Rattus norvegicus: one gene and its partners. The protein of the gene in region 1 interacts with the protein of each later gene in a pairwise test. Links are inferred from orthologs where the notes say so. Each region holds a gene or a part of one and is shown on either strand. Other genes may lie near its edges.

Evidence for each region.
Region 2: the proteins of Nfyc (region 1) and Srebf2 interact in binary tests that used the Homo sapiens proteins (3 or more experiments, as listed by UniProt). The link is inferred for Rattus norvegicus from reciprocal best matches to the Homo sapiens genes NFYC and SREBF2.
Region 3: the proteins of Nfyc (region 1) and Dr1 interact in binary tests that used the Homo sapiens proteins (3 or more experiments, as listed by UniProt). The link is inferred for Rattus norvegicus from reciprocal best matches to the Homo sapiens genes NFYC and DR1.

Annotation. Positions count from the first base shown.
Region 1 is NC_086023.1:139,676,947-139,681,072, reverse strand, and holds the start of Nfyc (nuclear transcription factor Y subunit gamma), read left to right. Parts: upstream 1-1,188; 5' UTR 1,189-1,376; exon of another isoform or gene 1,377-1,825; intron 1,826-4,126. UniProt on the Homo sapiens protein: Component of the sequence-specific heterotrimeric transcription factor (NF-Y) which specifically recognizes a 5'-CCAAT-3' box motif found in the promoters of its target genes.
Region 2 is NC_086025.1:115,574,270-115,577,915, reverse strand, and holds part of Srebf2 (sterol regulatory element-binding protein 2), read right to left. Parts: intron 3,509-3,646; coding exon 3,316-3,508; intron 2,814-3,315; coding exon 2,632-2,813; intron 77-2,631; coding exon 1-76.
Region 3 is NC_086032.1:1,611,645-1,615,959, reverse strand, and holds the start of Dr1 (protein Dr1), read left to right. Parts: upstream 1-1,403; 5' UTR 1,404-2,024; coding exon 2,025-2,244; intron 2,245-4,315. UniProt on the Homo sapiens protein: The association of the DR1/DRAP1 heterodimer with TBP results in a functional repression of both activated and basal transcription of class II genes.

The DNA of each region.
Region 1 (4,126 bases):
GCAGAGTTGAAGGGCAGACTTTTGGAACAATAAGCAGATCTCGGTTGTGACTGGTGGTGAAAGCCCTGGATTTCCGGCCTAAAAACCAGAGATTTTTAGTTCCAGCTGGGCGTCCTCTTACACAGCTCTTTACAGCTGAGGAATTGCCTGCTGCAGGACTACAGGACATGGAAGAGGAATTGCTGCAAAGTACTTTTTGGGCTTTAATACCAGTCTTGTTTGGTTCTGCATGATGTCTTCTCTGTAAAAAGCAGAAGGTAGAATTGGATGGCATTCAGCATTTTATATTTTTTTAAATTCTTATTCAAGCACAGCATAATGTACTATTTATATTTATTTAATCCCTACAGTGTAAACAGCCTGTATTACAGATGAACAAACTATGGCTCAACCGCACGTAGTCCTTGTTATATAATTAAAAGCTAAGTACTAGAGCCCCGAATATATAGACAACACTGCGGTTATCCCTGGTGCCCTTCAGAACACTAGAATGTTTCCAGAAACAATAGTGAGCCAAGTAAAACTATTAACCTTGCTGAAGATTAGTCCTGCTCCATATTTAACAAAGTAAAAAAACCAGGTGTCTTTCTGTGTAGATCACATTGGAATTCTGAATTCTTTTGCACCATCCTTCCTGCTGGTTACATGGTATTACAGGTATGTGCTCCTACACCTGGTTCAGAGTTTTGATGTCATAGAAGGCATTTTTCCCCTATTACATTTTCAGTAAATTGGAGTAGAGCTTTGTGATAGGGTTCTTTTGAAATGCTGAGGTCTCTGCCACCAACTTCATACATTTACCCTAAATCATTCTATTTTGATTTGTTAGTGTTAATCTGTGCTTTTAAAATTACTACGAATACAAAAGGTACCTTTAGAGATCATGAAGACTGTTGTATGGGCAAAGCTTCACTTTGATATTAAAAGAAGGCTGAGTTTTTTGTTTTTGTTAACTCAACAATATGGTTTTGATATTGGTTTTAATCTGTTAATAATGATCAACAAAAACATGGAAGTGGATGGTTACAACTTTCCGAGCTTGTGCACATTGCTTTTCTGGTTTAGTGCCATAGGTTACTGTAGCAGTATCTTACAGACACTGTTCACGGCCAATCAGAAGCAGTGAAATTACCTTCAGTTTTTTAAATGGAACTCCATAGCCAATAGAAAATCCTTTAGGTCGGAAATGTAGCGACCCTTTCTTTCTTTCTTTTTTTTTTTTTGTTTTTTGTTTTTAAGAACAATTCTAAATTTGCCCTCCCCTGTTTTAGAAGCGCATGAGACCATATGTGTCTGCTCGTGCATTTGCTAAATATTTCCGATCCTTAAGTTCTTGTGTTTGAGTGAAGAATCTGACCCCTGTTCTGCTTCTCAAGGTAACTTTAAAACAGGAAGTGTACAAAGGAGGTAACTGATGACGTGAACAGCCAATCATGGCTTTGTATTCTTAGCTGATAAAGCAGCTTAGCCAATGGGACTGCTTTGGAGGCAAGGTTTGGTGTCAAATAGCAGGCTAGATTGAATGCCTTTGACTGTTAAAGTGGAAGGAGGCTGCAGGGCTTCATTGGAGCCTCAGAGTTTTTCACTGAGGCAGGGGTCAGCTGAAAGACAAAGAAAAATGGCGAATAGTTTGCTGTGGGGTGGGAGGACAGCTGTTCGGGTTTTCACTGGAATGAACATTCCAGACTCAGGTTTCTACATCTTCTGCTGCCTTTTGTCCTCCGGTCTTTTTTTTTTTTTTTTGGGGGGGGGGGATAGGAGTGACTTAAATTCTCCCTGTCCGAGGAGATATAAATAACTCCATGTAAAATTAATGCAGTTCTCGGTAAGTTTAATTCTTTGTTTTGTGTTGAGATGATAAAGACTATTTAGCTTCAGAGAGTGCAGACAAGTTGCACTGTTTCAGAAAATGGCCACTTTACATTCCGTGCATACCTTCTTGTGCACCTAGATTACCTTGCTCTGTTAGATTTTGCATGTCCTTCAACTAAGCTTTTCCTAGTTTAATATCAACAAGACAGATGCAAAAAGGGCTAATTATTTTTCCTGGGCATACAAAAGCAAAGCACTTTGTCTTTGCATTGGGTAAACTTAACTGTTTTCCAAATAATTTTCCTTTGTTCAAGTGCACTGAAGCTTTTCTACGGAATAAGATGAGTTTTAAGAGTTTTTTTTTTTTATTTTCATGCACTTTGTTGACATTAATGTTTCAAAGATAGAAGCACATTATCGTTCTTTCACTTGCTTGAAAATATGATTAACAACTGATGCAGGTTCTAATGGGGGAAGGCCCACATGCCAGCCTGAAAATTCTCTTGTAACTTTCTTGATCTACTTATCTGCCTCTGCATTTTAATAAGAATCAATTGAATAAGTCTAAATTGTAAATTGTTCATTTTGGTTTAATATGCTGATCAGTTTAGAGTCCAGTTAATATTGGAAGTGAGAAGCTTATCATGTTTTTGTCAGCTGTTGATTTGGTTCTTTAAAATGATTTAAGCAAATGCCTTTGTTTCCTGTATGAAGTATATAAGGGGCTTACCTGCAGTTTGTGACTAGAAAAGTTAAGTGTATAGGTAGCCTTTTGCCCTTGATATTTACCCCCTTTAATGATAAGAAGCTTACGTAGATTGCTAATCAGTAACAAGTCAGTTCTTATGAGTAGTCAAATCATCAGTCCTATGTACTAAGATCTGTAATATCCCTGATTTTTTAAAAAGCAATTCTTTGTTTTTCTCTTTATTTGGAAATACTGGATGAAGGTCATTCGAACATTCCTGCTGCAGATCAGTGTAGAGCAGTGAGGCAGTAGCAGTCCCTGGACAGGGAAAGGAGCAGGCCTGGCTGAGGAGAACTTGGAAGGTGTTGGTCTGCCTTCGATTGCTTCCTCTTGAGGGAAGGTTTACCTGAGAGGATCCATTGGGGTTTAAGTTTAGATATGTGCAGCTGGAGTGAGTGGGATAACAAACAGCCCAAGTTCCTGGATGCAGGCCTCCCTCTGCCGCTGCTCTGAAAAGTGACCTTGAGGAGTTGAAAGATTGAAGGACAAAGTTTGTTTATGCAGATTGGAACTGAAAAGCTCTCTTAAGATGAAAGACTGTAGTTCTGGGTGTTCTAGTCCAGTGGTTACTAGGAATCTGTTATAGTTCAGATCAGGAGTTTTTAAAGGAGTAATAGGTCTGCATTCATTCTCTTCTTCCCCTGTCTTTTTTTTCCTAACCCCAGCCTCAGGAAAATTTTTCTAACTCTTTCTGATATGATAATTGAGTGAATTATCTAACAGATTCAGAGTTCCTTGCATGCCATCCTGTCACCCTTGTAATCTAAAGGGTTCTTAGTGGAGAAAATGGTATTTCAGGAGTTCAAATAGTTGTATTTGTGAAGCTCCTCTTGGAGGATTGGAAGGTTGATGGTAAGAAAATATTAATTTGGGGGAATTTTAAGTTCTACCAAGAGGAGTTTGTGTTAAATATTATATTTTAAGTGATGCTTACTTATTTTGTATAGGCTGTTGGTATAAGTGTTTTAAGCTGTAAGTATGATTTAAAAAAAAAAAAGATACAGGTATCAGTGACCTTTTTTGCTCTGAGAGAGGCCTGTAACAGAGGGATAAAAATGAAGTTGGAGAAAAAGGGAGGCTGAGGTAAAGCTCCATATACTCTAGAACTTTGTGGAGCTGGTTGCTTAGAGTATGTAGCCAAGTTTACCATCTTTTTTCAGGCACACCCCTGCAAAAGCCTGAAACAGCTAACATAACATTCCTGCATGCTCAATGTTGAATGGCATTTGTGGACCTCCTCATTTGATACTTTGTTGAAAGACGTACAATCTCCTCTTCATTTAATACATTAGACTTGAAAATATTTTTAGACAAAAGAGGTAAACTTTATATGGTAAAGAGCAAAAAGCCTTATGGAATTAACCATAACTCAAACTGGAAGTGTTAGGAGAGAGAGGTGAGGGGGCAGGGAGGCTTGGATAGAGCCTAACACCTAGACCTTCTGGTGACAGACAGTATTTTGAGGCAGTAGAATATAAATTATTTAAAGCTGAGAGTCCTGTTTTCAAGTCAGCTTTGAGTGTGGGCAAGTCATCTGTTGTTCAAAGTCAGCTTCTAAAAACATGG
Region 2 (3,646 bases), on another chromosome or scaffold:
GGCGGGAGGTGGGCAGCGCCCGGCCCAAAACGGATAAGCAGGTCTGTAGGTTGGCAGCAGCAGCTGCAAAGTCACCCTACGAAGCAGCAAGTGGGAGTAGTGGTCACTGGCCTTACCGCTGCCTTCTGGTTCTAACACACTTCTACTTGACCATCTCCTTATCAGAATAAAGCACGCTTGTTAGCAAAGTAAAACACAATTTCCATTAAAGAAAATTTGAGACATGCTGGAACGATACAAAAACATAAAAAGCAGCCACCTCACCCTACACAATCACTGTGGACATTCTGAAGACTCCCTGGCCTTTCTACTAAATTAACCTGCACTGTGTTCTGTCTTTGAGCAAGTGCGGGAGTCTCCAAAGCAGCTTGTTTGGTTGTCTTTCGAGACAGGGTTTCTCTGGGCAGCCCAGCTGGCTTCGAATTCAGAGTGCTCCTGAGTACTGGGATTAAAGGTGAGTGCTGCCATCGCCCGGGTGTCACAGCAGCTTTTATAAATAAGCACTAGTCTTTAGGTAACGTGTGTGCTTAGGATGGGGGAAGTCCGTGGTGCCCGACCTCAGGCCTGCTTAGTCACAGCTCTGGGATTGTAGCCTGTGATTCAGTGGCCTATAGAGGCCCAAGAATCACAGCTTTAAGGCAAACTCACAGCTATATTACTAAACTCCCCCCATTCAGGATCTCTGCTGAGCGGAGGGTCTAATTTAAGGAGCGGATGGTGCCCAGCTGACCGTGGTTATCAATGGCGACCAAAGATGGCAGATGTGTTTTGCAGGCTGTCTCTGGCTTTTGCTTCTTTGCCTCAACCAGTCCAACTCTTCTCCCAGTAAGACTGTAGCTTCCCTTAGCACTGACTCTAAGCAGCCCTCCCAGCAGTTGCCTCCTGGCCACTGTTCCAAAGGCGTCAGAGCGTTTCCAGGCCTAGACGCAACGGCCTAGAAAGAGCCCTACAGCTCTTCCAGCCTTTCCCACCTTTGAGTTAACATCATTGTTAATTAAGTTGTGTCTCAAAATATTTATTCGATTCTACCTTTTTGTTAAATTCCAGGTCTCCCTCTCTCTTATCCCACCCATTCTAAGAACCTCCTAACTTGTTTCTGTATCTTTCAGTGTCTCCTTTCCCTAACCTATTCACATGGCCACCAGAATGACAGTTTTCAAATGCCCTTAAATCTGTCTCTAGGACTAGGACAATACTGTGACCTACTATATGGCATCACACCTGTGCTTTAGGACCCTGGGGCTATGGGCACTGACTGGGGTGTGTGTGGGGTAACTCAGGTGTGTCAGCCTGCAGAAGGACTAAGCTCTGGGTTTGCTATGGCTCAGGGATGGTCTGAGTCACACTGACTCCAATAGTGCATAATGGTTAACCCCTTCAATGTTACCCCATAATCTCTCCTTACAGTGATCCCAAATAAAAATGTTCAGCTAATTTTCCTGCTCAAATGTCTTCCCTGATTCACCAGAGAACTAGAAATAACTTAATTCAGAGGGCTGAAGAGATAGCTCAGAGGGTAAGAGCACTTGATGCTCTTCCAGAGGAATCAAAGTTCGGTTCCCAGCATCCATGCCAAGAGGCTCAGAACCACCTGGAACTCCAACTCTAGGCAATCTGATGTCCTCTTCTGGCCACCAAGGGCACTTGCACTCATGTGCATATACCTTCACACAGACATGAGCATACACAAATAAAAATAAGCCTTTACAAAAAACCCTAGGGGTTGGGGATTTAGCTCAGTGGTAGAGTTAGAGTGCTTGCCTAGCAAGTGCAAGGCCCTGGGTTCGGTCCCCAGCTCCAAAAAAAAAAAAAAAAAAAAAAAAAAAAAAAAGAACCAAAAAAAACCCCCAAAAAACAAAAAACAAAAAAAAACAAAACCAAACCCCTAACTCAGCTGTAAGTTAAAATTCTCTGCACACGGCGACTAGGTACACCACCAGCCGTCACTGCCATCTTCCTTTGACATAGACACACATATCCTCAGTGTGTCTACTTGTCTGCAGTCTGAATGTGAATGCCCCCACAGGCTCATGTAGTACTGTCTCGGCTGGCTGTGGAAGCTTAGGGCCTAAGGCCTGGCTGACATAAACGGACGGATAGGAGCAGCTCTGGCAAGTGATCTCTACTTGTGCTTCCTGATCTGCATGAGATCTACATGAGATTCCACGCCACCAGCTCCTACCGAATGGCCAACAGCCTTCCCTAAGAGGAACTGAAACTAAGAGCTCAAATAATATCTCTTAAGTTGCTTCTGCTGTGTATTTGGTCACAGTGAGGAGACAAGTGGCTAATACAGTCCTCATGACACCATCTGCTTGAAAGGCCCTGACCTGCCTGCCTGCCCGCCCGCCCGCCTGCCCATCCTTCTTGACCAGAACAGCACCACCTACAGCCCCAGACTCATAGCACTTATATGACCCACTGCAGAGGTCATTTTGTGTCCACAGCATGATCTGGGCACAGGGATGCCCTCCCTCATCGCCCTGGGGCTGTTGTAGGTACAGGGCCTCCTCCTCACCTCAGTCACCCAGCACAGGCCACAGGACTGATTCACACTGGGGACTCAACAACATTCCCTGAGCACAGAGGATGAAAGTGAATGATAGAAGAAAGGCGGGTGACAGAACTCACTTTGGCGAGGTCTAGGTCTGCCTGCTTCCGGTGTCTCCAGAAGGTGACCGAGGAGCGTGAGTGTGGGCGGATCACTGGCTCCCCATGGACCAACAGCTTCACGAAGACGCTCAAGACAATCACACCGTTTAGCAGCCACAGCAGTAGAGTCGGCATCATCCAGTCAAACCAGCCTCCAGAACCTAAAGAGGGGCGTCTCAGCTGAGACTACCAGGAAGAGCCTTGTGGGACAGCAAGGCACCTAACAGACTCCAGAGTGTGACATCAAAGAGCCTTCTGTGTCATTTTCAGAGGAAATGGTAGACACTTCTGTAGCCTACACCCTTTTATACCCTGGTACCATGGAGCCGAGTGGGACACATACCCCAGTTAAGAGGAAATTAGGACACTGATCTCCTACCTGACGTGATGCTATACATCCCCTCCAACAAGTGCCTCCCCATCTCTCCCACCCACTTCTGCCCACAGTAACTGTAACAAAGCAAGTTCCAGGTTGGTTTGCTTGTCCCAACAAACTTCAGTTGTCTTCTCACATATAACGTAGACTGGCCCCCATCAGCAGCAAGCCGGTGGGAAGCCCATTCTTACTTCTGGACTAGGCAGGGATATCATGTAGTTTTTACACAGGGTCCTTTGTCACAGCAGTCCCCCTGACCCAAGCCAGCATTAGGGGGACCCACCTACCTGACTCCAGTGACAGTACATTGCGGCCAGAGCCTGAGTACGGGTGTTGGTCAGGGTTGTGGGCCCCTCCCCACTGCAGCAATGAAGTCAAGGGGTTAAAGGAGAGACCCAGGAAGGTGAGGACACATAAGAGAATTCGAGATCGGTCCACCATGCCCAGTGCCACAGGGGGAGAGTCCGGTTCATCCTTGACCTTCAGAACAGTAGCTCAGAGTTAGAACAGTTACCATTTTTAATTATTTACTATCTTCTTTTTTAATTTTATGTGCACTGGTGTTTTGTCTGTGTAAGGATATCGGGTCTCCTGGAACTTGAACTGCAGACAGTTAAG
Region 3 (4,315 bases), on another chromosome or scaffold:
TTAGACAGTGTCTCAGGAGTACTCACAAGCACTCTGTAGATAAGATTCTCATATGTGAAAGTTTCCATATAATAACAGCACAAAATGCCAAGCCACCCAGGTAACAGTCACCTAGGCCTTAACTTTACATCTAGACCTTAATATTTTACCTAAGTCTTAACACATCTCAACCAAAATTTACTTATTTCGAAGAAGAAATTTACTCCTTATAATCAAAGATTAAACTTAGTAGCACTGATAGTGAAGAATGTATGGTTCCCAGGAAGCATCTTGAAGAAAATGTTGAAGATAAAAATTACTCAAAGGCTGGTGTTCTAGGTCAGTGCTGAAGCTATGTCTAGTGAGGCAGGTAGGAGGGGACAATGATAGTCTCCTGGAAACCAAACATCTTAAATTATTGCCAACAGCCCAGCTGCCAATCTGTCTACAAAAAATTACGATAAACTAAACTGTACACGTTGGCTTAAGTGCCTTAGCCCTTTCAAAAGTTACAACGTCCCACTATTTATTAATGGGACCGTATGTGAAGTTTTTTGGTTTTGCCTGTGTTTGTGTTTGGAGACAGGTTTCTTCAGTGTTGCCCTGGCTGTCCTGGAACTTGACTTGCTTGCCTGAGCGTCTCATCTAAAGTGCTGGGATTAAAGCCATCTCCTGGCTGAGCTTTTTTTTTTTAATAATATAATTTCCCTGATGAATGTGGCACTAGTTATTAATAATCACCCGGAAAGAAGCAAGTATCAGACTCGCTTGAGATAAACCAATTTTTTTTTTTTTTTTTTTGGTCTTCTCTCCAAAAGCAAGTGTGCAGAGGGCCATAGCTCATGGTAGGCCAAACTCACAGCTTTGGATCAGACTACTAATTTCTGATTTAGCCGTTTGTGCTACGGAGGGTAGCCACTTATTTGAAAGCTTCGTTTGTTTTTTTTTTTTTTTTTTTTGTCATAAATGAGCACAGGGAGTTCCGATCTGAACGCTGTTAAGCAGTTACAAAGGCCTTTTTCCCCACACGCCGGGATATGCTCCTCTCACTCAGTGCCCTAATTCCGACAGCTAAGGACGTAGGAAAAGGAAGTTCTTCGGTAAAGACCAGGGCTGCTCCGCCACGTGGCCCTCCGATGGCCCTTCGGCCCACACATCCCTCCACAGAGCAGGCGAGCTCCCCTAGGGCCTGATTGAGGAAACGCGGGGACGCAGAGCGCGGGCAGCGACGGGCGGAAGCTGCGGGCTGCCAGCACCGGCGGTTCCCGCCCGCCCGGGCGGGGTGAAGGGCGGGGCGAGCACTCGGAAATCCGTCGAGGAGGGCGGGTGGGACCCCGGGAGTGAGACTTCCGGTGGCGCAAAGCGTGTCGGGATCAGCTTGCGGCAAACCTCCTTCCCCGGCCCGTAGAAAGACCACCGTTAGCGCCGCTTCTGCTCCCACAGCCTGCTCTCGGCCAAACGCTCGGTCGCGGCGACTGCCGCTGCGGCTCCCGCTGTTTTCGGCCCTGTCCACTTGGTTCCCAGGCAGCCAGCGTGCGTTCAGCTGCGGCTTCGGCAGACATGTTGTGAGGCGGCGGCGCGGGTGCCTGAAGGATGGTTTGGCCGAGGCGGCTGCAACCGCTGCTAGTGGCGGTGGCCGCGGGGGCTCCGGCTCTGTAGAGCCGACCCTGCTGTGGTGCGTCCGCCCGGTACTGCGGCCGGGCGGGTACTCCTCGGTCTTGCGTGCGCCCCCGAGCCGTTTAGGTTCGGTTAGGCGACAGCGCCAGTCCGTTTGAGGCGACACGCAAGGTGGTTCTTGAGCCCTGGGAGTGGTGTCCCCAGAGCGAGCCCTCAGCCCCCTGACCTCTCCTTCATATCCGCACTAAAATCTCTCACACAGTGGGTGTTCCCTGCCCTCGAGCCCGCTCCTTCCTGGTTTCTGCTGCACTCTGAGCCTCCCGGACCCCGACATCTCTCTCCAGGGACAGCCTGTTGAGAAATCTTCGTGGAGTGGTGGACTAGAGGGAGGACTTTAAAAGTTAGGGCTTGAAAGACAGGAAGGCACGATGGCTTCCTCGTCTGGCAACGACGATGATCTCACTATCCCGAGAGCTGCTATAAATAAGATGATCAAAGAGACTCTCCCTAATGTCAGGGTGGCCAACGATGCCCGAGAGCTCGTAGTGAACTGCTGCACTGAATTCATTCACCTTATATCTTCCGAAGCCAACGAGATTTGTAACAAGTCAGAAAAGAAGACAATCTCACCAGAGCATGTCATCCAAGGTAAGCAATTTGTGTGGGATTTAATTTAAATGAAGGTCCAGGCTAATAGAGTCACTCCTAGTGTCACGGAGCCTTCATTCCACTTCACTAGTAAGTGCAGTTACCTTAAAATACCTATGTAGCATTCTTCGGACATTTTCTTCATCCAGCTAATGCAAGTAAGAAGTACAAACATTAGGGTCAGCAAACATCCACAACATTTAACCAGTACAGTTTCCGATCAGGTCTTTAAGCAACAAGAATTGACTGCCTACAGCTAAACTTGGATAGTAACAACTGAGAAAGGAACCTCAAAGTTCTCTCTTGGGAAGTTAAATTTTAGAATTTCAAGCACGAGTCGAGTCAGAGAGTATATCTCTTCCCCACCTGTGCTGAGGAAAAGATTCATTTTGAACACAGGGGTAGAAAAAGTTCTTTGGCTGTGAACGGAGGTCAGTGGTATATCATCTACCTAGCATGCACAAGGGCCCTAGGTCCGAGTTTAAAAAAAAAAGTTATCAACATGAGTATGTTCATTGTTGTAAAGTTAATTTCTTTCCAAAAAGTATAATTTTTGCTTTACAAAACGCTGAGGTGGTGGAACAGTTATCACCAGGTAACCGAGTGCCACATTTTTTCCTTTTTGACTTCCTCCAACTATTGATTGTTCTTTGAAAATTATTTGTAAAGGGTGGCTGGGGCAGGGCGGGGACGACAGTACTCGGGCTTGAACCTAGGGCCTGACACATGCTAGTCAGCATTCTGTTGCTGAGCTGCCCAGCCTGTCCTCTGTCCTGCTGCTCCAATTTGGATGTGTCTATGCGTTTAAGCTTTTATGGAAAAACGCTTCTAAAGGTTCCCACAGTTTCTTTCTTACGCTGGAAAGGATTTGGAGTTGGGATTTTGTTTTGATGATTACAGGGAAAGGAGACGAAAGTTGCTTTTGGCAAATTTTGGGAAATACTTTCTGTGGCTTTTCATGAACTCTTATGAGAAAGTTGCATTCAGTTTGGTAAATCACTTCTATTATAAATCTATTGAAAATGAGGACAACTTCTTGATTACTTTTAAGGTTAAAAGGAACAAATTTAATCATATTAGGCAGGTAGTTCGTTGCCATTTTATACATTTAAAAATTTTACTTTCCTGTTGATAGAGAACATATCTGATCATATGGAACATAACCATTTTGCAGTCAGTATTGACAAGAAGGTCACGTGTTTAATTTTTGAGCCTTTATCCTGTGCTGATGGTAGATTTAAAGCACACCTTGCTGTGATGAGGGGGGTCTCAAGGCTGAGTACTTAGCATGGCAGAGGTCAATCCCAGTAGGTAGTAAGAGTCGTGATGATTGATAGATGTGTGTGTGTGTATAATCATATCACATGCACATATACTCTGCCATTTCAGCACATAGCAGATAACTAAGAAAAAAGCAATGTTTTTACTTTAGGTTAGGAAAGGCAAGATGCTAACAGGTTCACACTCTTGTTACCTAGCCTGGCCTTAAACTTAGAGCCTCTTCGTGCAGTCTCTTGGTCCTGGGATCATGGACATGTAACTACCATTCCTGCTGCTTATTTGATTCTTTGGTGTGTACATGCTGAATGAACTTGGGGCCTTGTGTGTGCTGGGCAAGCAATGTCCTGCAGAGCTATCTTTCCAGCTGACATACTTGATTCTTAAAACTAGTATTTTTTTTTCCTACTTGTTTGGTTTGCTGAGTGGTAAGAAAAATGGAAACCAAGTGTTTTGGGGTTTTTTGGTCTTTTTTTTTTTTTTTTTAGTTTTTTTTTTAGTTTTTAAGTCTCTTAGAAGATATTTAACAAGTAGCTAACATTTCCTTTGACTTTTTGTGAAGGAATGGAAGAACCACCTTTTGTCAAGCATCAACTTTTTAATGAAACTGCAGATTTCTGTAGGACCTGCCTAAACACTTGTTTGTACCACAGAAGTGGTGATTGTTCCAAAAATCTAATAACACAATCTGTCTTGTGGGAGGCTCATTCTTTTCTAGGGTATATTTAGAGTTCCGATCGACATGATGATTGAAGTGCAGCTGTAGAAAGCCGTGTACTGGGGCTGGGGATTT